Arabidopsis thaliana: one gene and its partners. The protein of the gene in region 2 interacts with the protein of the main gene of each other region in a pairwise test. Each region holds a gene or a part of one and is shown on either strand. Other genes may lie near its edges. The genes, in order: PPD5, AT5G37670 and AT4G28440.

Region 1 (7,188 bases), about 11 Mb from region 2:
TACTTGTTCTCTTGTACAACACATTTGAGAACAGAACCGTGAAGGCTCATCTTTTTTCTTCTTCTTTTGGTTAAGGTTATTGATTCCTACGTTGCTGATCAGAGAGTTGGCTACGCAGAGCCAGCTTCAGGAGTGGAGCTTTACCTTTGCCCAACACGTGGGGAGACTCTAGATTTGCTAAACAAAGTCATCTCTCAAGAACAGCTCGATGAGGTCAAGTCTTTGGATATTGGATTGGTTGGAGTTGTTGTGTGGAGACGAGCCGTCGTTCCCAAGCCCGGTTCCGGTTCAAAACGTCAGCATTCTTTTTCTTCTTCTATTGGTTCTAAAACCTCTGTTTTGCCTGTAAACAAGAAGCAGAGAGTGCATGTTACAGAGAAACCTCTTGTTGTTGCATCAATGAGAAATCACCATCATGGTTATGTGAAACATGATACTGCTGCTGATGATGATGTGCCGCCTGGATTTGGTCCTGTGGCTTCAAGAGACGAAGATGATTTACCGGAATTTAACTTTAATTCCTCGGTTGTGCCAGTTTCTTCTCCTCAGCCATTACCAGCTCAATCTAAGTCTTTGGATCAAGTAAGAAAGCTCATACACAAGTATGGAAAATCTGCAAGCACTTATGATGATGATGACGATGAGGACGACATACCTGAATGGCAGCCACACGTCCCTAGCCACCAGCTTCCACCACCGCCGCCTCCACCTCTCGGCTTCAGACCCGAGGTATTTAGACCGCCTCAAGATGGTTGGTATGATAATCAAAACGGAGGATCAGGGCAACACTATGAGCGGAACCAGTCAAGAAACAGAGGATTTTAATATCTCTGTTGAGTGTTCTCTGTAATTGTAGTTTTTTGGTTTCCTAGTCTCTCTTTAGTTTTTCGTTTTCAAAAAATTTGTAGCCATCGTAGAATGCAAATGTTCGAAGAGTCCCAACTTTTCAAATAAAACATTTCAGAGTTTCCTCAAGAAAACGAAAATCAGTATTGCTCTGCTTTTAAAGACAAGTTTGATTGTGGAATCTTGCTAAAATGTCAAAATCTTGTTTGAACATCAAATTTAATCCGGAAATCAGCAAGTAATTTCTTCTATCTAGGTTTCACCATGAATCTAAAAGGATTATTGAAAATGAGGCTAACGAGAGTAAGATTTTTTGATGGGCCGCTCGGCTCAGAGTTCAAGCCTGCAGGAAAATTTGCTCTAAACGGATGAAGATTTCAGTTTATTTCGGTTTACAAGTTAATAATAAGGTTATAACTTATAAAGATTCTCCTTTGTCAAAGTTACTGGTACTAGTTTTAAAAGGATGATTACATATACACCATAATAAACATATCAATATCATATTATTCATAGGAAAATCCAATCCACAGATGGAGCTGCAAAATAAAAAAAGGGGTCAAAAAAGACCAGACTAATCTAATCTGCCCAAACAACACACCACTCAGATTTGAACTTCCAAAACTATACATTTTCCAACTACTCACATATCATCATTTCTCTTAGATACCATCAACTTCATTGATACAATACCCCCATTACTGTACTTATTATGGGTATGCAAACCAAAACAAAAGAAAAAGAAGAAGAAGCAAAACTTCACAACTAAAGGATTCATGAGATCAGGCCGATACAGGTGCATTAGGGATAACCGATGATGTGGATGCAGCGACTTCAGTAGATTTTGATGTTGAAGGCCCTGACTCAGAGATATCCCCAATATCAAGTGTCTCTGGCAGGTTTTCTTCAGATTCAGTGCTGTATATCTATATAGAAAAAGAGTGATCAAAATCATCACTTAAGATCATTACATCAAACAAAAAATAAACGTGAGTAATGAATATACCTCAAGCTGATTCAGCATCTCAATGGTTGCTTCAAGATCACCGCCATTAGCGAGGTAAACATCAGTGATAGACTCTTGTGAGAGACCAGAGAAAGTGACAAGAAGGTATTCAATATCCATGTCTATATCCATCTCCAAATCCAAATCATCATCCCTGATCTGCTTATAAGCCATTTCAGAGGATTTCTTCGGCATTGACACTTCAACCGTGGGGGACTTTGCTGCAAACACCAAACCATCATCACCGCCACCATAATCCACTCTTTTGGAGATTGGTACATACGATGCTGCATGTGGATTCAATGCAAATGCTCCTGGCTTCATTGCTTTGTCTTGCTGATAAAGTTACTGCTAAATTTAGAAGTTAATTAAGAGTCAGAGACAGAAAAGAAATACAAAACAATGATATATTGATTAGAACCAAACATGTCGTATGCAGCAAAATCTAACAATCTCAAATTTGGTCTAACGAGGTATGATGAAACAACCTTTAATGATTTCAACAAAAAAAAATAAAAAGGATATGAAGAGACCTAACTCCTAAGCCAACGTTTCGATGGCGTAACACAGAGTATATAAGGAATCTAAAGGAAATAAATTGAAGATATTAAAATAAAGAAATGTGGTTACATTAGAATCTGGCTCGCGTTGTTACTGCATGGAAAAATCGATGTCGGAAAATACAGAAAACAGGGCAAAAGTAAAAGATTCTTGACAAAGAAGAAATGATGCGAAGAAGAGTGGATTATATGCAAAACAAAATGAAAAGAAGGAATAATGTTTGTTGACCTTGTCAACGATCGACGTAAAAGGAGAAGAAGAAACGAAACATTAGGAGAGAAGAAAATGAGCTTACCAAACAAAAACTAGCGTTGAAGATCGCTCGAATAAATTGTAGAGACAGAGACCTAAATGATGCGATTAATGTGGCAAACCCATGTATTTATGGAATTATTATCGTATAGGTTAGTGTCCGTTTACATGAAGGACACCAAACATCACGATGGGGTTCGTTTGGATACCCGGTTATATTTATCTTTAACCGGGATACTAATATACGTGATTGAAATTAATTCGGTTTAATAAACCGATTGATAACCACCGGTTTAAAAAGTATCAAAACGAAGGAGTGAATGGATGAGAGCTAAAGGGAAGAAGCAAAGTGAAGAAGCTCCAGAACACGCCATAGCTATGGCTCTTCTCTGTCCTTCTCTTCCCTCTCCGAATTCTCGTCTTTTCAGGTTAATTATCTTTTGTGATGTTTCTTGTGTGCTCGAGCCAGTGGCTTTTTCTGTAAGATGTTTTTGTGATTTCGGATGAGATTGTGTTCAGGTGCAGGAGCAGCAATATTTCGAGCAAGTATCATGGAGCCTCAAAGGAGCTGATGATTGCTCGTTCTGGTGTGTCTACGAGATCAATTTCTTCGGAAAAGGGGCTTTCTCGTAGGGATTTAGTGCTCATTGGTCTCTCTTCTCCGTTGTCTATGTTCTTGCCATTGTCTTCTCCAGGTAATGCTTTGCTTCTATTGTTCGTCTTTTAATATCTTGTAGATTCAATTAGATAGTTTCACTTCTACTTAAAAATCTTGCCTTTCATTGGTTAGTAGAGAGAAAGGAAGAAAATTGAGAATCTCTTACAGTGTTTAGTCCATTAATAATCATCTACTTTTTTTGGTTATGTAACGTTTACAGTTTTGTTATTGCAGTCACTCATGCAGAAGAAGACGTGAAAATGAGTGGAGAAGAATTGAAAATGGGTACAATGGTGGATGATATTAATGCTTATTCTTATGCTTACCCATTGGATTATCCATCTGAGAAGCTTGTCTTCAAATGGTATTGACTGAATCCTTTTGATGTAATGCTTCCTTTTAGTTCAAGCTGTATCTCACTCTTTTACATTTTGGTTATGCAGGGTTGAATCAAGAAAGCCTGAAAGATACTCTTCAGCTGCACCACTCTCTCGTAAGTTCTATGCTTCCTTTTGATTTTCATGAATTCTGGATGCATTAACTTGTTACTGAATCTGTTTCAACTGGTCCAGCTGATGCACGTTTACGGATTGTTTCTGAACGAGTTGACCTAACTGACAACCTCGTCATTTCTATTTCGGTAAGTTTCTGGTGTTGCCCATTTAGCATAAGACTGCTTTGCTTCTCTTTGCTATCTTTCTCGTGATATGTCTTTTACGGTTTTTGATTCAGATAGGTCCCCCAAACTCAAGATTAACATCAAAAGAAAAGAAAACATGGTCCGCTAAAGAAGTTGCTGATTCTGTTTTGTCTGATAAATCAGCATTGGTAACCCTTCTAACATGAAACACATCACAGTTACCAATTCTCCTTTTCTTAAACATTAAACAGATTGTTTAAATGAGCAGCGTGTCACCTCAAGTCAGCGTCTTGAAGAGAGTTCGGTTCTTGATGCTCATGCTAGTGATGTGAGTATGATCTTCCACAACAAATCATATAACAACGTAAAAAAAATTGAATCTACAAAGCTCACAAGTCTCATATGCTTACTATATGTAGATTGATGGGGAGCCTTACTGGTACTACGAGTACCTTGTCCGCAAATCACCAACCAAAATTGTAATGCTCTCTAACTCTGAGCAGATTCTTCTTGTTTAAAGACATAAGGAGATTGATTTTGATAGGACTTACTGGCTTTGCTATATGTGGGCAGGCTGAAGCATCAAAGCTTTACAGACACTATATTTCTTCAACAGCTGAACGTGATGGTAAAGAACTTTTCACAAGGGAATTGATTGAGATGCAAAGTTTAGAGTTTGTTTAGCCTGATGTAGAGTAACAACATTTACCTGAATCTCACTCATTGCAGGATACTTATACACCATAAATGCTTCAACCCTTGGCAAGCAGTGGGACAAGGTACAAAACCTGTAACCTCTACTTTCTGTACATCTATTGTATCAGTGTGAGGATGTCTGATTTTGAGGGTCTGTATAAAATGCAGATGGGACCGGTGTTAGAAAGAGCAGTAGGATCCTTTAGGCTTCTTCCTCCTACTGATAGTTATGTTCCTCCATACAAGGATCCATGGAGGTTTTGGTGATGCTTCCATCTGCCTCATGAAATTTCTTTTTTCGAAATTGTCGTTAATTTTGATAGGAGAGGAGGTTATGAAAGTTGTAGTGTGAGAAATGAGCCAAGCGAAGTGATTTTTCCAAATCCGAATATCTTGTTCACTATCAGATGTATTGAGATTGAGATATAACTAGCATTTTCTTTTAAACTCATCTCAACTGGTATCCACAGAGTTTTTGGCTCAGAATCAGATTTACTATCATATGAATATGATATACACAGGGAAAGAACAAAAAAGATGGAGTAACTTTCTTCTTCATAGTACCTCCTTTACTATCATAATACATTGACCACTGCCTCCTTAAGATTTTCAAGGTAGCATAAAAATTTAACAAATGAAAAAGAGGTAGCCAGAGGGGAGCCACATAAACCGGCTTCTACCCTTATATAAATTAAGATAATAATATCTGAATAGATGAACCATAATTATAAATATCCATAACAATAGCCATAGGACCAATCACCCACCAAAACCATGAGAGATGAGACCAAAAGTATTTTTTTTTTGTTAGGTAAGCAGAAGCACAAGCAATATACAAAAATGATCATCCATGGCCGCCTCAGTTTAAAGAAACCAACAGCTCTTTTTTCTTGAACAGATGATCAGCTCAAGCTTCTACTTTTCCTCTTTTCATGGACTCAAATCGATCATGGAAATGGTGGGAGTATTGGAATTAGCCCACGGTGAAGAACACACCGTTACTCTTCTTCTTAGACTCCTTGTCTGAAGACGAGACAGACTTGATTGCTTCTTCTTCATCTCCATCCTCCATTTCCTCATCCAGATCTATCTCCTTTGAACGGCACTCACTACTGCAGAACGCTTTGTATCCACTGAAAACCAAAACCATGACATTGATATTTCACAACATATTCACTTGCGTGTGATCTCATTACATTTGGAACGAAGCTATGCAGTTTAGTAACGAAGTACTGCAAAGAACCTAAGTTTCCATATCTATGATTAGGCCTTTTATGTTTTGGAGATTAGATTCATGTAAGGGAGTTTCTATTGTAGGCTCAAAACTATCGAAAGTTGGAGACTTTATCTTAAACACACAAATGCAAAGAGAATAGAGGAACAATTCTAAGTGCACTAGTAATGAAGGGGAAGAAGAGAGTACCTGTACATGTATATATCTTCTCCCATACCCAACTTCTTGCTACAGCCGTAGCAGAAGCTCAAGAAGTCTTTGGGAGGTAACACATCAACAGGTGTTGTCAAGTCGAGAGGAGCAACAGCAAAAATGCTCTCTTTCTCGTTCTTGCAACAACGGTTCTTCAACTCCTCGCGCTCTACGGACTCCATAACCTGATCCCCGTAAAAATGGGTGGTTTTGGGGTTAGGACCATGTGAAATAACACAAGTGTAGTCCTCTGAGATCTCCATGTCACTTTCAGTACCCCCATTAAGTGATCCTGGGTCTTGCTTGGTCACCTGACAAGCATTGTTGTTCACACTGAAGTTCTCAGCACCGGAACAGTAAGCAGCATCGACGGAGCCAGATTTTCGAAGCTCAAGCACATCAATCACATCATGTCCAATCTCAAAAACAGCATTTGGTATAACATCCTTGGGCATCAAAGCTTTGGTAAAGGGTTGAGAGAGTAGATGAGGTTTCTGGCCACTTCTCATCAAAGATCCAAAGATTATGTTTTTACTATCCGGTGATGGTAAAACAATCGTTGCTGATGAATCAGTGTGATGATCATCAACAAGAGAATGCACAATGCTCAAGCCTACTTTACCAGAATCCCAGCTCCTTTGTTTCCCTCTCCAGATTGACCTCGAAGAAGAAGCAGCAAAAGGGTTCCCTAAAGTGGAGAACAATCTGAAATCCAAAGGAGAAGTTGGGCTCCAAGCTGATTCATAGTCAGATGGACACTTTCCTTCAAACACACTAGAGATGAGTTTGTGGCTTCTAATCGCTGACAAGACCGGTTTTGTCGAATAGTAATCAGAAGCAGTGGTCATTTGATAGTTGGAATGCTGAGACATGATTGATGATCTGTGCCCTCAAAAAACAAAAAGCAAAATGTTAGCTTAAGCAATGATCCAAGGTCCATAGCATAAAACAAGAGTATAGTAATTCACAATGTGAGAATATAAAAAAACAAAGCTTTGATTTTTTAATAAGGAAAGCAACAATCTTTGGAACCTAGATAAGGAAAATCCGAAAGGGAAAGATCAAAGAAATCGTCAATACAAAGGAAAGGATCATCGGAAGAT
Region 2 (6,851 bases):
AATAGTAAGTAGTGTTTGTAAGTAAAGACTTGTACTATTTTGGATAGAAATAAAATGTTGTATTATACTATTTTGGATGTATAGAAAACTATACCCTAAGATACAACTTTGGCAACCCAAGCAATCAGATAACATAAGTGGTATCTGAAAAATCTAGTTTGTTCTTTTCGTTTGTTTGTTGTGTTATACAGAAAAAAAAAAGAGAAGAGATTGAGAGAAAAAAAAAAAAAAAGATGAAAAAGAGAGGAGAGAAGGAGGAACTTAGAATAAGGTAGAGAGAAAGAGGTAAATATGCCATTATTATATATAATATAGAGAATATAGCTGTTTTTTTTTTCTTGTATTACTTTTTTAATTTATAAATTTTTGTTAGTTATTCTTTGCAAATTTCCCATAAAAGAAATAAAAGGAACACACAAAAAAAAAAAGAATGGTGACATCTAAAATTCTAAAAGCAACAATAGCGTGACACCAAGAGTGAAGGAAGAGACACCGTTTTCACAAACTGACAAATTCTATTACCTTAAGTAAGGTCCAGATTCTTCCCTGTTCCTCTTCCTCTCTGTTTCTCTCATTACCCATCTAGCAAAATTCAAGAATCGAACTAGGGCTACGAAATATTTCGATTTTGAATCTCCAAATCCAGAACTCGAGTGTTAAATCTTCGAAAAGATCAAATCTTTGGAGATGGGTCTTTGGGATTCACTTCTTAATTGGCTCCGGAGGTAAACAAATTTCTAACTTTCATTTTGTTTTGCTGATTAAGTTGGTTTATTAGTTGTAGTCCTTTTGTTCTTCCATTGAAGTAGTTTAGAGTTATAGTTCTGGGTTTAGTAAAAACGTTGCCAAAAACCAATTTTTCTCACAAAGAGTCAACAATTATTGTTTCAAAATCTCAAACTTCTCTTGAGTTTCTTGGGCTGTATCTTTTATTGTTACATTATATGAATTGGTTCGCTGAGAAATCTACCGTTATTTCTATGTTCTTGTGTATTAATTCTCTTGACTTGATTGTCATTTTAATCCATTTATAGTAGTGATGCTTTATGTGATGTTATAGAATGGTTAAAAGAGTAGGTTATAGTTGGTTAGTAATGTATTGTTGTTTTTGGTTATACTTATGTTTTTAGTGTATAGCAGAATCACGTTTTGGTAACACTTAGATTTTGATTCTGTGTTTGCTTATATTTGTTGTGTCAGCTTGTTTTTCAAACAAGAGATGGAGCTGTCACTCGTTGGACTTCAAAATGCTGGGAAGACTTCTCTTGTCAATGCCATTGCTGTGAGTAGAAATTTCATCAGAGGTTTTAGTCGATAAATAGTATTCTCGAACAAATCTAATCTTACGCGTTTCACTTCTTGTTTTCTTTGGATTTGTCAAGACTGGAGGTTACAGTGAAGATATGATACCAACTGTAGGATTTAACATGAGGAAAGTTACAAAAGGAAATGTTACAATAAAGATTTGGGATCTTGGAGGGCAACGAAGGTTTCGTACCATGTGGGAACGTTACTGTCGCGGTGTTTCCGCCATTGTGTACATCCTCTTAAAACTTCTTCGATATGTTTTGAACATCCCATGTTACTATTTGGTTAATAATCTTTGATGGTATATGTTGCTGTGGTAATATTGCAGATATGTGATTGATGCTGCAGATCGAGATAGTGTACCGATATCAAGAAGCGAATTGAATGATCTGCTAACGAAACCGTCTTTAAATGGCATTCCTCTTCTGATTCTTGGCAACAAAATCGATAAGTCTGAAGCTCTCTCTAAGCAAGCTTTGGTTGATCAACTGTAAGTTTCTTATTCAAAGTCCATACAAAACAATCTGGATTCGAGTATATGACTTTGGATTGTTTTGATGCAGAGGGCTTGAATCTGTAACAGACAGAGAGGTTTGCTGTTACATGATCTCGTGTAAGGACTCGATAAACATTGATGCGGTCATCGATTGGCTCATTAAGCACTCGAGAACTGCCACATAAACAGACACAACAAGCTCATTGGTCTAGAGGAAAACAAAGCTTGTTTTTGGTTTCTTGATGTTGTTTTATTTGTTGAGAATCAATCAGATGTAAATCATCAGCTTTTGGTTTCTTCTTGGTTTAAATCTTGTTTTACAATTCTTCAATGTTCAAATACTTTCGGTTCATGAAAATCAAAACCCGGTTTAATCCGGTTAAAACTTCAAAGCTTGCTAGTAATATTAACATCTTATTGGATTCCTAAATATTACATACTGGCATACTGCAATTCATTAGATTTATGAAATAACAAAGTCCAATTTTATTCATCTTAAGAAAACCAAAAACCGGTTTAACCCGGTTTAGACATCAAAGCTTGCTAGTAATATTAACATTCCTAACTTTAGACGATTTCGATGAAGTGTCCTTAGGAACAACAACTGTAAGAACACCATTCTCCACGTAAGCTTTAACTTGATCAACTTTCACATTCTCCGGCAACTCAATCCGCCGCAAAAACTCACTTCCACCACCGGAAAAAGCTTCTCTCTCCGCCACGTGCCACACCAAATTCTCCTTCTTCTCTTCCTTTATTCCTTCTCCTCTTATACTCAAAACATTCCCTTCTTCAATCTGTACTTTGATGTCTTCTTTGTTGTAACCAGGAACGTTGATCTTGAAGATATGAGAGTTGTTTGATTCCATCCAATCAATCAGAGCCGTTGATCTTGACCATTCTTGGAATCTTCTAAATGGATACAAGAATATTCCTCTGTCTGCCATATTCTTCTATCTTTCTTCTTTAGCTAAGCTTGTTTTCTAGAGATGTGTATATATGTTTGAGTGGAAAGTATTTTATACAGATTACAGAAGTCGAGACAGTTCTTCGTTATCTTGTTTCTTCTTCATTTTCTCTGACTCCAGAACTTTGGAGAAGCCCAGGGGGTTGTTATATGCTACGGTGCAGTGTATATTGATATGATGGATATCGATTGATTCTAACCGTTCGATGCGATTCTAGGATTTTTGTGATTATTTGGGCCTTTTATCTTTATCTGTTGTCCCTTTTTTTTGGTATATATATATATACTCTTCAATTTTAAATCTTGAAAAGTATTATATGTATAATATAAAAAATATATTATATTTAGATGTTCTCAAGTATAGAAAAATTAATATAAATTTCAAAAATAATTCATATACTCAAGATTTCATGAATAGCAACATATATTGATTTCAATCCTTTCTTTCTTTAGCTCTATAACATGATTTTTTGTTGTAATTTGTTTCCAGCTTTGCACGATGATGGAGAAACCGGTTAACATCAAGTTAAGAGTAACATTCTATGCAATCACGAAAATTTCACAACCCGAACAAAACTAAGTACAGTTGACGACTAGATATAAAACGAGTCATATCAGTCGTGAAAATGGAGAATTCGCAAGACTTAGACCAAATAAAGTGAAATGACTCTCATTGCCTACCTTGTGGCTAGTAGTCTCTTAAACCGGTGCGATACGTGTTTGGAGCTATGTGCGATTCATGTTAGGAACTTTGTGCTTCATTCATAACTTTTACATTTGAACCAATTGTTCTGTTGATGGATCCAAAATCTTTGGACCTTCCAAGTTATATATAAGAATTTTAATAGTTGTATTCACTAGTATAGTATAATAGATGAGTTATGGCTTAGACTTATTTATAGTTAGATCACTTTTGGATCTAGGTAGATTTTGACTGTCTTAGACTCTATATTTTTTGATAGATACGAAACCCACGGAACAACTTTGATTCGAATATTTTCATTTTCCATTGGGCAGAATAAGAATTCAAACAAAAGGTTAAACCCTAATTTGGGAGTTGAAGACTTGAAGTGAAGAGATTGGTGATGAATAGTTAATGATTTTTAAAAATTTTATAATATAAAGTATGATTTTCAAATTTGCTAACACATGTATCAAATACTTTGAGTGAAAGAGATAATCGACGTGTTAAATCTAATTTTATTAATATTTTTTATTTTTTTTAAAAAAGAAATTCTTGTATATAGACGTGTTAAATCTAATTTTATTAATATTTTTTATTTTTTTTAAAAAAGAAATTCTTGTAAAATCAAGTACTACTACTAATTATGCTAAAACGATGGCTCTCTCTCTCTCTGAGGGCGATTTTTTGCCTAACTCACACCGTTTCAATTCTCCTCGCCGGAGCAGTTCTCCGACCATCATAATCTGTCTCTTTTCACGGTTTTATGACGGCGGTTACTTTCTGCCAATCAGTTTCCATGGCAGTTATCATTGCCCTTCACTTTCGGAGGGTAACTACCCACACAAACCGCCATGGATACAAACTTATATATACTTCAATTCGCTCCTTCTTCTCCCTTTTCTGCAATTCACCATTTCTCAAACACTGTCATCCACAATCATGAGTGACAGACTTCGTAAATCGGTTCAGGATTTGAACTTGGGTATTGATGATGAACCGGTGGCTCTAACTTCAGAATTTTGTTCACAGGCTGCATATGTGAACCGTTTCTCCTTGGTGGTAACAACTGTGAATCCACGCAAACAGAACCTCCGTGCCTTGATAGGACAAATGCCACGAGTTTGGGGCTTTCCTGATTCGTGCGTCGGGCGGATTATTGACAAAGGCAGAGTTCAATTCAAGTTCCAGTCTGAGGAAGCGATGAATCTCGTGCTCCGTCGTGGACCGTGGTCATTCAACGATTGGATGCTTTCGATTCATCGGTGGTATCCAAACCTTAGCGAGGCTGAAATGAAGATCATTCCTTTTTGGGTACAAATCACCGGTATTCCTCTCCTTTTCCTTACCAATGCAATGGCTAGATGTGTTGGAAATAGATTAGGACATGTTGCTGATGTTGACTTTGATGAGAACTCAAACCATACGGGTTTTGTGCGAGTTCGAATCAATTGGAATTTGGATGATCCTTTACGCTTCCAAAGAAATTTCCAATTTGCTGATGGTGAAAACACTGTGATAAAGTTTCGTTTTGAGCGTTTAAGGAATTTCTGTACCAAATGTGGCTCCCTTAAGCATGACATCAAGGCATGCACCCTTTCCTTTGATAATGAAGATCCGGTGGAGACAAGTGATGATGATGATGCTGATGATGATGACGATCATCACGACGACAACAAAGAACATGACATAAGCGACACTGATACTCTTCAGACAGTGGATCCAGCGACTCTTATTCCCGGCCTTCAATCTTCGCTTTCAAAGGGGAATCAACGCCAGGTACAAAAACTTTCAGATGGTTATTCGGTTCCATGCGTCATTGAGGACACAGACCTCACAGTTGAAAGACTCCGCTACCTTCACGCCAAACTTGCAGGAGTTAAAACTGACGCACCGGTTGAGAAAGATCTGCTCCTTGAGTCCTCTGACAATGCACAAAATGAGTTTGTCTTCATGAAGAGAAAGAGGGTTCGATTTGAAGAAATGTACCAACAGGTGGAAGCTGCAGACGAAATGGGCGTTCTGAGTCAACTTTGCAAGAAAGGAAGAAAGACTGAATCTGCAGGATCGTGTTCGATACATGATGGACGTGACGGAGGCGCGGGGGGCCCGGTACCCCTAAGGGATCCAATATGAGGATCATCTCATGGAACTGTCAGGGCATCGGTATGCCGCTGACTCAATCACGGTTGTTTCGCTTATTCCGTATGTATAACTATGATATTTTATTTTTAGTTGAAACCTTAAACCAGTGTGATAAAGTATGTAAACTAGCATATGATTTAGGCTTCCCTAATGTAATAACTCAGCCCCCTAATGGAAGGAGTGGTGGCTTAGCTCTTATGTGGAAAAACAATGTCTCTTTATCCTTGATTTCTCAGGATGAAAGACTCATTGATTCTCATGTAACATTTAATAACAAGAGCTTCTACTTGTCTTGTGTGTATGGTCACCCTACTCAATCTGAACGTCATCAACTATGGCAAACTCTTGAAAATATCTCAGATAATCGAAATGCTGAATGGTTGCTAGTGGGTGACTTCAATGAGATACTTTCGAACGCTGAAAAAATTGGTGGTCCCATGAGAGAGGAATGGACTTTTAGAAATTTCAGAAACATGGTTTCTCATTGTGACATTGAAGATATGAGATCAAAAGGAGATAGATTCAGTTGGGTAGGGGAAAGACATACACACACAGTCAAATGTTGTCTTGACAGAGTTTTTATTAATTCAGCCTGGACTGCAACATTTCCATATGCTGAAACAGAATTCCTGGACTTCACGGGCTCTGACCACAAACCGGTCCTAGTTCACTTCAACGAGTCATTTCCCCGTCGATCAAAGCTTTTCCGTTTTGATAACCGCTTAATTGACATACCGACATTCAAACGTATTGTTCAAACAAGCTGGAGGACAAACTGGAATTCACGTTCTACACCTATCACGGAACGGATCAGTAGTTGTCGACAAGCCATGGCAAGACTGAAACACGTTTCTAATTTAAACTCAGAACAACGAATCAAAAAACTTCAAAGCAGCCTAAACAGAGCAATGGAGAGTACAAGGAGGGTTGAAAGACAACTAATTCCACAACTTCAAGAGTCACTAGCGAAGGCCTTTAGTGACGAAGAGATTTATTGGAAGCAGAAGAGTTGTAATCAATGGATGAAGGAAGGCGATCAAAACACCGGCTATTTTCATGCATGTACAAAAACAAGATATTCTCAAAATCGAGTGAACACAATCATGGACGATCAAGGAAGGATGTTCACAGGAGATAAAGAAATTGGAAACCACGCTCAGGACTTTTTTACAAATATCTTTAGCACCAATGGTATAAAGGTATCACCAATAGACTTTGCGGACTTCAAATCCACAGTCACTAATACAGTCAAT
Region 3 (7,105 bases), on a different chromosome or scaffold from region 2:
TTCTGCGGCAAGGAAAATTATCATGATGGTATAGTTGAAACTTTTTTACATATTCTCGTCATATTTAATCATTAATACCCTTCAAACTAAACAATTGCAACCGTGGTCTGCTAATTGCTTTTCTTTTGGCAGACAAAAACAAATTCAATTGCATGGAACCCCATGGAGCCTATGAACCTGACAGCTGTAAGTGATAATCATAAAGTGAATTTTTCTGTGATGGGCTATGCTAAATCAGCGTTTGTCTTTTGCTTATGTGCTAATTTTATCCCATGGGGAAACTGAATAGGCTAATGAAGATGGAAGTTGCTATAGCTTTGATGGTAGAAAGTTGGACGAAGCCAAGTGCGTGCATAAAGATCATGTTTCTGCAGTGTAAGAATGAAGAATGATTTATCTCAAGTATCAGCTATAATATTTAACAAGATATCATCCAAATGCATTATGATTATCTAATTTCATCATTTTTCAGGATGGATATTGACTTTTCACCGACTGGTCGTGAGTTTGTTACGGGTTCTTATGATCGATCTGTGAGAATCTTCCCATACAATGGAGGACACAGCAGGGAAATCTACCATACAAAGAGGATGCAGAGGTACAATCTACTGAACAGTCTATATATACTTCAAGTTCAGATGTTCTAGTGTACCACCTTGGTAATTTGATTTAGTCTAAGCAATTTCTAAATTTCATTTCTTTTTTCTTGTAGAGTATTCTGTGTCAAATATAGCTGTGATGCTACATATGTAATATCGGGCAGTGATGACACCAATCTCAGGCTATGGAAGGCAAAGGCATCAGAGCAATTGGGAGTTGTAAGATTCTGTGAATTTATACAAAATAAAGACCAAAAAAGAGTTACCACAGGCTTAGCAGTTGATCCAATAGTGCATATGATTATGAGATATTACTCGTACATGCTTTCTTAAGAAGTTTTAACTTGGAACGGTGAATTGTCAATGTTAATTGGTGTGTTGTGCTGCAGATTCTTCCAAGGGAACAAAAGAAGCATGAGTACAACGAGGCTGTGAAGAACCGGTACAAGCATCTTTCTGAGGTTAAGCGCATTGTGAGGTAAATGACCAATGAAAACTGTGGTTTTATCCCATGCTTTAACTCTGGAGATTGTCAAAAGATAACTATAGTAACATGGTAACGTTTTGGTTATTGTGAATTACAGACACAGGCACTTGCCAAAACCAATATACAAAGCGATGGGTATCATTCGAACTGTGAACGATTCGAAGAGAAGAAAAGAAGCACGAAGGAAAGCTCACAGTGCTCCAGGAACAGTGGTCACAGCACCTCTGCGCAAAAGAAAGATCATCAAAGAAGTGGAGTGACTCTACTCTTTCTCCGTTTGTTCCTTTCAAGGATGATGATACGTGGAGAGGATTGTATTGGTATAGTGAGGGTAAGATTAGGAACATGAACATTTTTGCTGTGTTGTAAGCCTTTCTTTATGCCATTAAGTTATTACCCATTTCGTTTTCTTTTTTCTCTTCACTACGTATTGTGTTCATTAACTATTCGTTTTTGGTGTTACAAAGCTGATCTTCAAAGTAACATTCTGATTTCAAAGATTTATAAAGTTTGGAATTAGACCGACTTAACTAGACAATGGTTCTATGATCCGTCGATGAATTTTATGCACTTACAATTTGTCTTAACAATGACATTAATCAAGGATGAGATGCTTTCGATGTAAAAAGTTGGGCAAAACTCTCTGTAACCGAGAGGGTACAATAGTGTACATCAAATAGTAATTAATGAAAAAACAAAGACATTAGTAAAGTTTAAGAAAGAAAAACTTATTTTTACTGTATTAGATAGTGCACAAGCAAGCTCTCAATGGTCTTTAACTTACATCAACACAAATTAAAAGGAACAATTGCATTACGCCATTACCGCAGGCTCAATAGTTCTCCAGAGCAAGATCATGACCGCATATTTTAGGGTAAAAAAGAAGAAGCATATTCCTACAAGCAACTCTGGACCAGTCATACAATCTTCATCATCTAAATCAAAGACCTTCACGGTAGAAAAATCAGAACCCAACACTCTCAGGGGTTAACCTCCATAAACATACTAAAAGATCACTGATCACCACCAACATTGATCAGTTCATACTCAACGAGAGACAGATTGTTATCCTCCTTGACAGTGAAAGACGCGGCTCCAGTGGCTTCGATGCGTCCCCATTTATCAACTCCTAGCCTCATTGTACCCTTGAACATGTCTATCCTTGAATTGCGCAGTATCACCGTAGCACCCGGCTTCATAAGATCAACTATACACACACACACACACACAAAAAAAACCAATAACATCATTAGAGCTAATCAGTAGCCACATCAATTGCACGAAAACTGGTATAACAAAACTTCACATTATGAAAAGCTATGAAAGTTTTGGGATAATGTAGACCATTCAATTGAACATAACTCAACATCTAACCAAGCAAGTTTCATCATCACTATAGGTAAGACTATACAGAGTTACAGACCCTCAAGGCCAAGATTCTTTCAAGCTTCAATTTCACAAAGACATCACTAAATACACATACAATAACTGATACATCATTTACCAAATAGTACTAATAGAAACACATTTACCATTTGCTCAAAATAGAAATTGATTAAGACAAACGAGAGAACAACAAAGGATAAGACTTATCACTCTAATAAACTACGAAGACACCATTTCTATATCCATAAAGCAAGAGAAAAGTGGAGAAACAATAACCTTGATCGTTACGAGCAGTGAAGAGGATACACCCAGTTTCGTCACCGATGAGACACTCAACGATTCGACTAGGCTGAGAAGGACGACTCAGAGAACTCGCTGGACGAGTCTTCCGGGTAACAGGAACCACGATATTAGCCTCAATGACTTTAACAGTCAACGTGTGACCAGTCGTTCCAGGCTTTAGCTGTTCCACCTTCACAAACACCGGTTTTCTCTTCACCGTCGAAGTTCCCGTCGCAACCGCAGCAGTTCCAGTCGTCGCCATCGCTTCAAATTACAATACCCAGATTTCGCGTTCGCCCTAATTTGGTGGAATCGATAAAACTTTTGGAGAAGAGAAATGGGAATTTAGGGTTTATAAAGAAAAGACGACGATGTGCTCTCTCCCAAGACGGACGAGAGTTTTTATCACCTGCTTCTCACAGTTTCATGAGCTTGTCACGTGTCAATTTATTATTTGATATTAATGACTGCTCTTTATTTATTATTACGTAAATGTGAAATATTATTACACAGGTGGATACTGAAAAGACACTAGTGACTAGACTAATAAAGCTTCTTTGGTGCTTTGGTTTCTGCAACTAGCACCAACGCTTGCTCTTCTTCTGCTGACCGCGGTGAAGTTGACTTATCCTCCGGCGATTTTTGTTGCTCCGGGTGAGTTTTTTCTTGTTGCTTCTTCTCCTCCTCATCCTCGGAATCTAACTGTAGATTCTGTCGTCTGTATCTGATTACTACTACTATGATAAACACTGCAATAAAACGGGTCTTGAGAGAAGTTAGATTCCAGAATGCAGTAACTGCAGAGCCTGCTACGAATTTCTTGTGTGTGCAAACTCCCCAAGCTTCAACAAATCTCCTTTGTGCACACTCAACTACACATAAGCAAAGATCAAAGAATCCTTAGTGTCAATCATTGGAACCATCAAAGAGCTACGCAGTCTGTTAATAGAGTTTACCTTTTTGGTTAAGCTGACTTGCGTAACATGAATATAGCTTTGGAATAGTGAAGCTAAGGAAGAAACCTGTTTAAAGAAACAATGCATACTCTGTGTCAATTCTACTAGATACAACTAAAGAAAACAGTTTAGCTTTCTTTGGAGTAATGTTGACATATAGTGTTTCAACAATCATACCAAAAGCACATAATCTCCACAATGTTATGAGGTAACCATACTCAGCTCCCATTAGAACAAAAGGTGCCACCTGAAATCAAAGTAAAAACAGTGTAAGAAGGACAAAATCAACGTGAGAGTCACATTCATTGGAGAGAAGTTTTATGAGAATGGCAAAGTTTTGTAAATTCTACTTTGAGTGTCATTGCTGGTTCACCAGAGAAAAGCTCACTCGTCTTTGAAATTGCTAAATTGGTGATGGGAAGCATTCGTCTAGCTATTCGTAATACATCATCTTCACTCAATTTAAGCTCTCTCCGCGCTTCTTCAGTAACCCTTTATGGTAACAAATGGATCAAAACTTCAGTCAACTGCAGTTCAAGCTGATATTTATGTACTGGGACCTTAAAAGTTTGTACCTTTGGCGAAGAGTATTTGACAAGAACGATACCCCAAGAAACAAAAGTCCAAGATAGGAGATCGCTGAGAAAACACTTCAAACCACACAAAGTTTCATTATCAACTCATGAATGTGAAAAATGATTAAAGCTAGAAAGATAAACCTTGACAGAGAAATCAATGTTACCTAAAGTTAAATCCTTTAGCAGCAAAGCAAGTAGATAGGAAACATATACAGCCAAAACCAAACCAAAGTGTTGATTTCGCAACATCTCTCCACATAATCAAATCGCTTATATTCTCTCTAATCCGCTCTAAATCACCTTGACAAACATCTTGAGCTGAATTACACAAATCATTGAGCAATTATTAGAGCACGAAAGTGAAATCGAATGAGCTAATAGACAGAGGAAGGACATACGTTGATCTGAAGATGGACTAGGAGAAGCTAACAGAGGAACAGAACTGTGCTTCTCCTTCTTAGATCGACCCAACTTCTTCTGTTTCCTCTGGTTTTGTTTCTTTTCATCGGTCACGACAACAATTGGCTCCGTATTTTCCTTTGTATCTACCATCGCCTCCGACCTTAGTCTCGACCTCCGGAAATTCCTCGGCGACGGCGAGGCCAAAAGACCATTTTGCCCTCCCTTCGTCTTACTCCGTCGTGCCGTCACAGCAGCCTCCGCAGCTTCCATATCGAACCGATTGCTTAAACGGGTTCTCGATTTACGAAGAGGGGAAGGAGATAAAAGGAGAATCTCACGAAGAGTAACAGGAGAAGATGGTGAACTGAGAGAAACAGGTGATGGGTAAGGAGTACCGTTGTTGTTCTTCGGAGACAATAAAACCAAATCGAGAGATGGAATGTGAGATTTTACGAGAGTTTTGTTGTTTCGAGCTAGACGCAAAGCGGATCTAGTATTCGAACGGAGAGAAGGAGGTGTGGTAGTAGAGTCCATTGTATGAGAAAGTTTTTTTTGGGAAAAAGAGAGAACTTTTTTCGAATCTGAAGTGATTAAATGAGAGGAATCTCTGGGAATTTATTAGGGTTCTTGAAGATGTGATTTGGGGATTCTTAATTCCGACAATTTGAGCTCTCTGCTTTTTCTCCGGCTACTGTGGATCAGAGAGCCGTTGATGAAGAAAGAAAGTAAAAGACAAATCTTTTGCATTTTTTAAATTTGACGGCGGCAAAGTGGGTCCGTCTCTTTTAACGGTAAAGATAAAGTCTTGATTCAACATTATTCATGTCTTTTTCTACTTGACTCAAACAAAGAAATAAGATTAAGAAACATAGAGTTTCTTATATGAAAATGACATGATTATTGTTTTTTACACCACAAAAATTGCAGATTTTTTATTTGGTTGTGTATAGTCTCTCTATAGATGAGTGGTTTAGATTTTGCCATTGCTCAGAGCTTGAAAAGAAGATTCTGTTTTCTTGAGATGGCGTTTGCAGAAGCCATTGAGCCTCTCAAGTGCATCTTCCAGCATCTGAGCTTCTACTCCAATTGTTATCCTTATCCAGTTCTTCAATCCCAAAGCCACTCCTGGTAGTAAGACGAGGTTTTCTTCTTTGGCTAGCTTCATACAGAAATCCATGTCGTCTTCTATGTCCTCCAACAATGGAAGCTTCAGCTTCGTCTGCAGTTTAATTGTTGTTAAGAAATAAGAATCATCCAAATTGATCTAGAATCATGAAAGAGTATAAGAGACGTTGGTGGTGGTACCAATAAGTAAGTGCATGACTCAGGTTTCTTGTTGCAGACCAAGCAAGGAATCTCCTTGAGCCTATCACAGACCAATTCCACGTTTTGTTTCAGCATCGAATTCTTCTTGGCAAACAACTCTTTATTCGCTTTCCCTAAAATCTCAGGAAGTGCAGCTTGAACAATAGTTGTAGCATCTGGAGTTATGTCAAGGTTCTGTTGAATGGACTGTACCATCTGTTACAAGAAAAAGGAAAAAACAGAGTGATTACTTGTAACACAAGCGACAAAAACACAAGTTAGTATGATGATCAGTAAAAAGGAAGACAGACCCCTGTGGACTTGAGAATTCCTCTGGGGTCATTCAAAGCGATCCAGCCAATTCTCCAACCAGGAACAATCCATCCTTTCGATATACCGCCCAAAGTGATAACCGGAGTTATCGAAGAAAACTCCCCCATTGGGACAAAAGGTTTGTCTCCGAAGATTGTTTGGCAATAAACTTCGTCTGTGATTACCATTATTCCCAGCTTCTTAGCCGTCTCCGCCACCTATAAAGGTTTCATTCATCAGCACCAATATTTCGAGTCTCTCACGAGTCAAAGCTAATTAAAAGTATGAATACGGACCTTCTTAAGATGATCGTAAGAGTAAACATTTCCACAGGGGTTGTTAGGGTTTATGATAACCATTGCAACTGTGTTCTCATCTGCCATGGCTTCGATGCCTGGGAGATCAATCTCCCATTCTTTCTCTGGAAGGAGATCGAACTTGCGGACCTCGAGTCCACTGTAGACGGCACGAGCCTCGTAGTGAGGGTAACTAGGCCTTGGGAGAAGGATGTTAGCGTTTGGTCGAGCCAGTGACTGAAGAACTACTTCTATCCCTTGGTTGCATCCGACAGTTATGAATACATCATTAGGCTTTACCTTGTTCGTCAAGTCTCGGTTCACGTAATCTGCGACCGCCCTGATTAACAAAACATTCCATGAAAATACTGTTAGGTTTTGAATGGTTACAGACTTACAGTGGGTGGAACAAAGTAATTAAGAGTAAAGTAAGAGAAAAATATTAGTATATTACTGTCTGGCTGGGAGAATTCCGGCGGCGGGGCCGTAAGAGTTACCCTTG

Evidence for each region.
Region 1: the proteins of AT5G37670 (region 2) and PPD5 interact in a two-hybrid assay, tested with the Arabidopsis thaliana proteins (one large-scale study listed by BioGRID).
Region 3: the proteins of AT5G37670 (region 2) and AT4G28440 interact in a two-hybrid assay, tested with the Arabidopsis thaliana proteins (one large-scale study listed by BioGRID).

What each region holds. Positions count from the first base shown.
Region 1 is NC_003076.8:3,651,432-3,658,619, forward strand, and holds PPD5 (PsbP domain protein (Mog1/PsbP/DUF1795-like photosystem II reaction center PsbP family protein)), read left to right. Parts: upstream 1-2,960; 5' UTR 2,961-2,989; coding exon 2,990-3,093; intron 3,094-3,184; coding exon 3,185-3,360; intron 3,361-3,557; coding exon 3,558-3,687; intron 3,688-3,766; coding exon 3,767-3,816; intron 3,817-3,895; coding exon 3,896-3,963; intron 3,964-4,055; coding exon 4,056-4,151; intron 4,152-4,231; coding exon 4,232-4,291; intron 4,292-4,382; coding exon 4,383-4,442; intron 4,443-4,536; coding exon 4,537-4,591; intron 4,592-4,692; coding exon 4,693-4,742; intron 4,743-4,827; coding exon 4,828-4,926; 3' UTR 4,927-5,216; downstream 5,217-7,188. Other genes in the region: AT5G11430 (SPOC domain / Transcription elongation factor S-II protein), read left to right, coding at 76-825; CID5 (CTC-interacting domain 5), read right to left, coding at 1,629-1,772, 1,853-2,176; AT5G11460 (hypothetical protein (DUF581)), read right to left, coding at 5,633-5,792, 6,083-6,957. UniProt on the Arabidopsis thaliana protein: Involved in strigolactone biosynthesis.
Region 2 is NC_003076.8:14,964,935-14,971,785, reverse strand, and holds AT5G37670 (HSP20-like chaperones superfamily protein), read right to left. Parts: upstream 3,029-6,851; 5' UTR 2,752-3,028; coding exon 2,338-2,751; 3' UTR 2,195-2,337; downstream 1-2,194. Other genes in the region: ARLA1A (ADP-ribosylation factor-like A1A), read left to right, coding at 688-725, 1,201-1,282, 1,383-1,537, 1,637-1,798, 1,872-1,989. UniProt on the Arabidopsis thaliana protein: Possesses chaperone activity.
Region 3 is NC_003075.7:14,055,965-14,063,069, reverse strand, and holds AT4G28440 (Nucleic acid-binding, OB-fold-like protein), read right to left. Parts: upstream 3,175-7,105; 5' UTR 3,017-3,174; coding exon 2,749-3,016; intron 2,294-2,748; coding exon 2,100-2,293; 3' UTR 1,684-2,099; downstream 1-1,683. Other genes in the region: AT4G28450 (WD repeat and SOF domain-containing protein 1), read left to right, coding at 1-28, 133-186, 290-375, 473-598, 713-818, 989-1,077, 1,184-1,346; AT4G28430 (Reticulon family protein), read right to left, coding at 3,298-3,626, 3,711-3,776, 3,888-3,957, 4,061-4,202, 4,286-4,360, 4,453-4,606, 4,687-5,224; AT4G28420 (Tyrosine transaminase family protein), read right to left, coding at 5,661-5,909, 5,996-6,211, 6,307-6,525, 6,604-6,943, 7,058-7,105.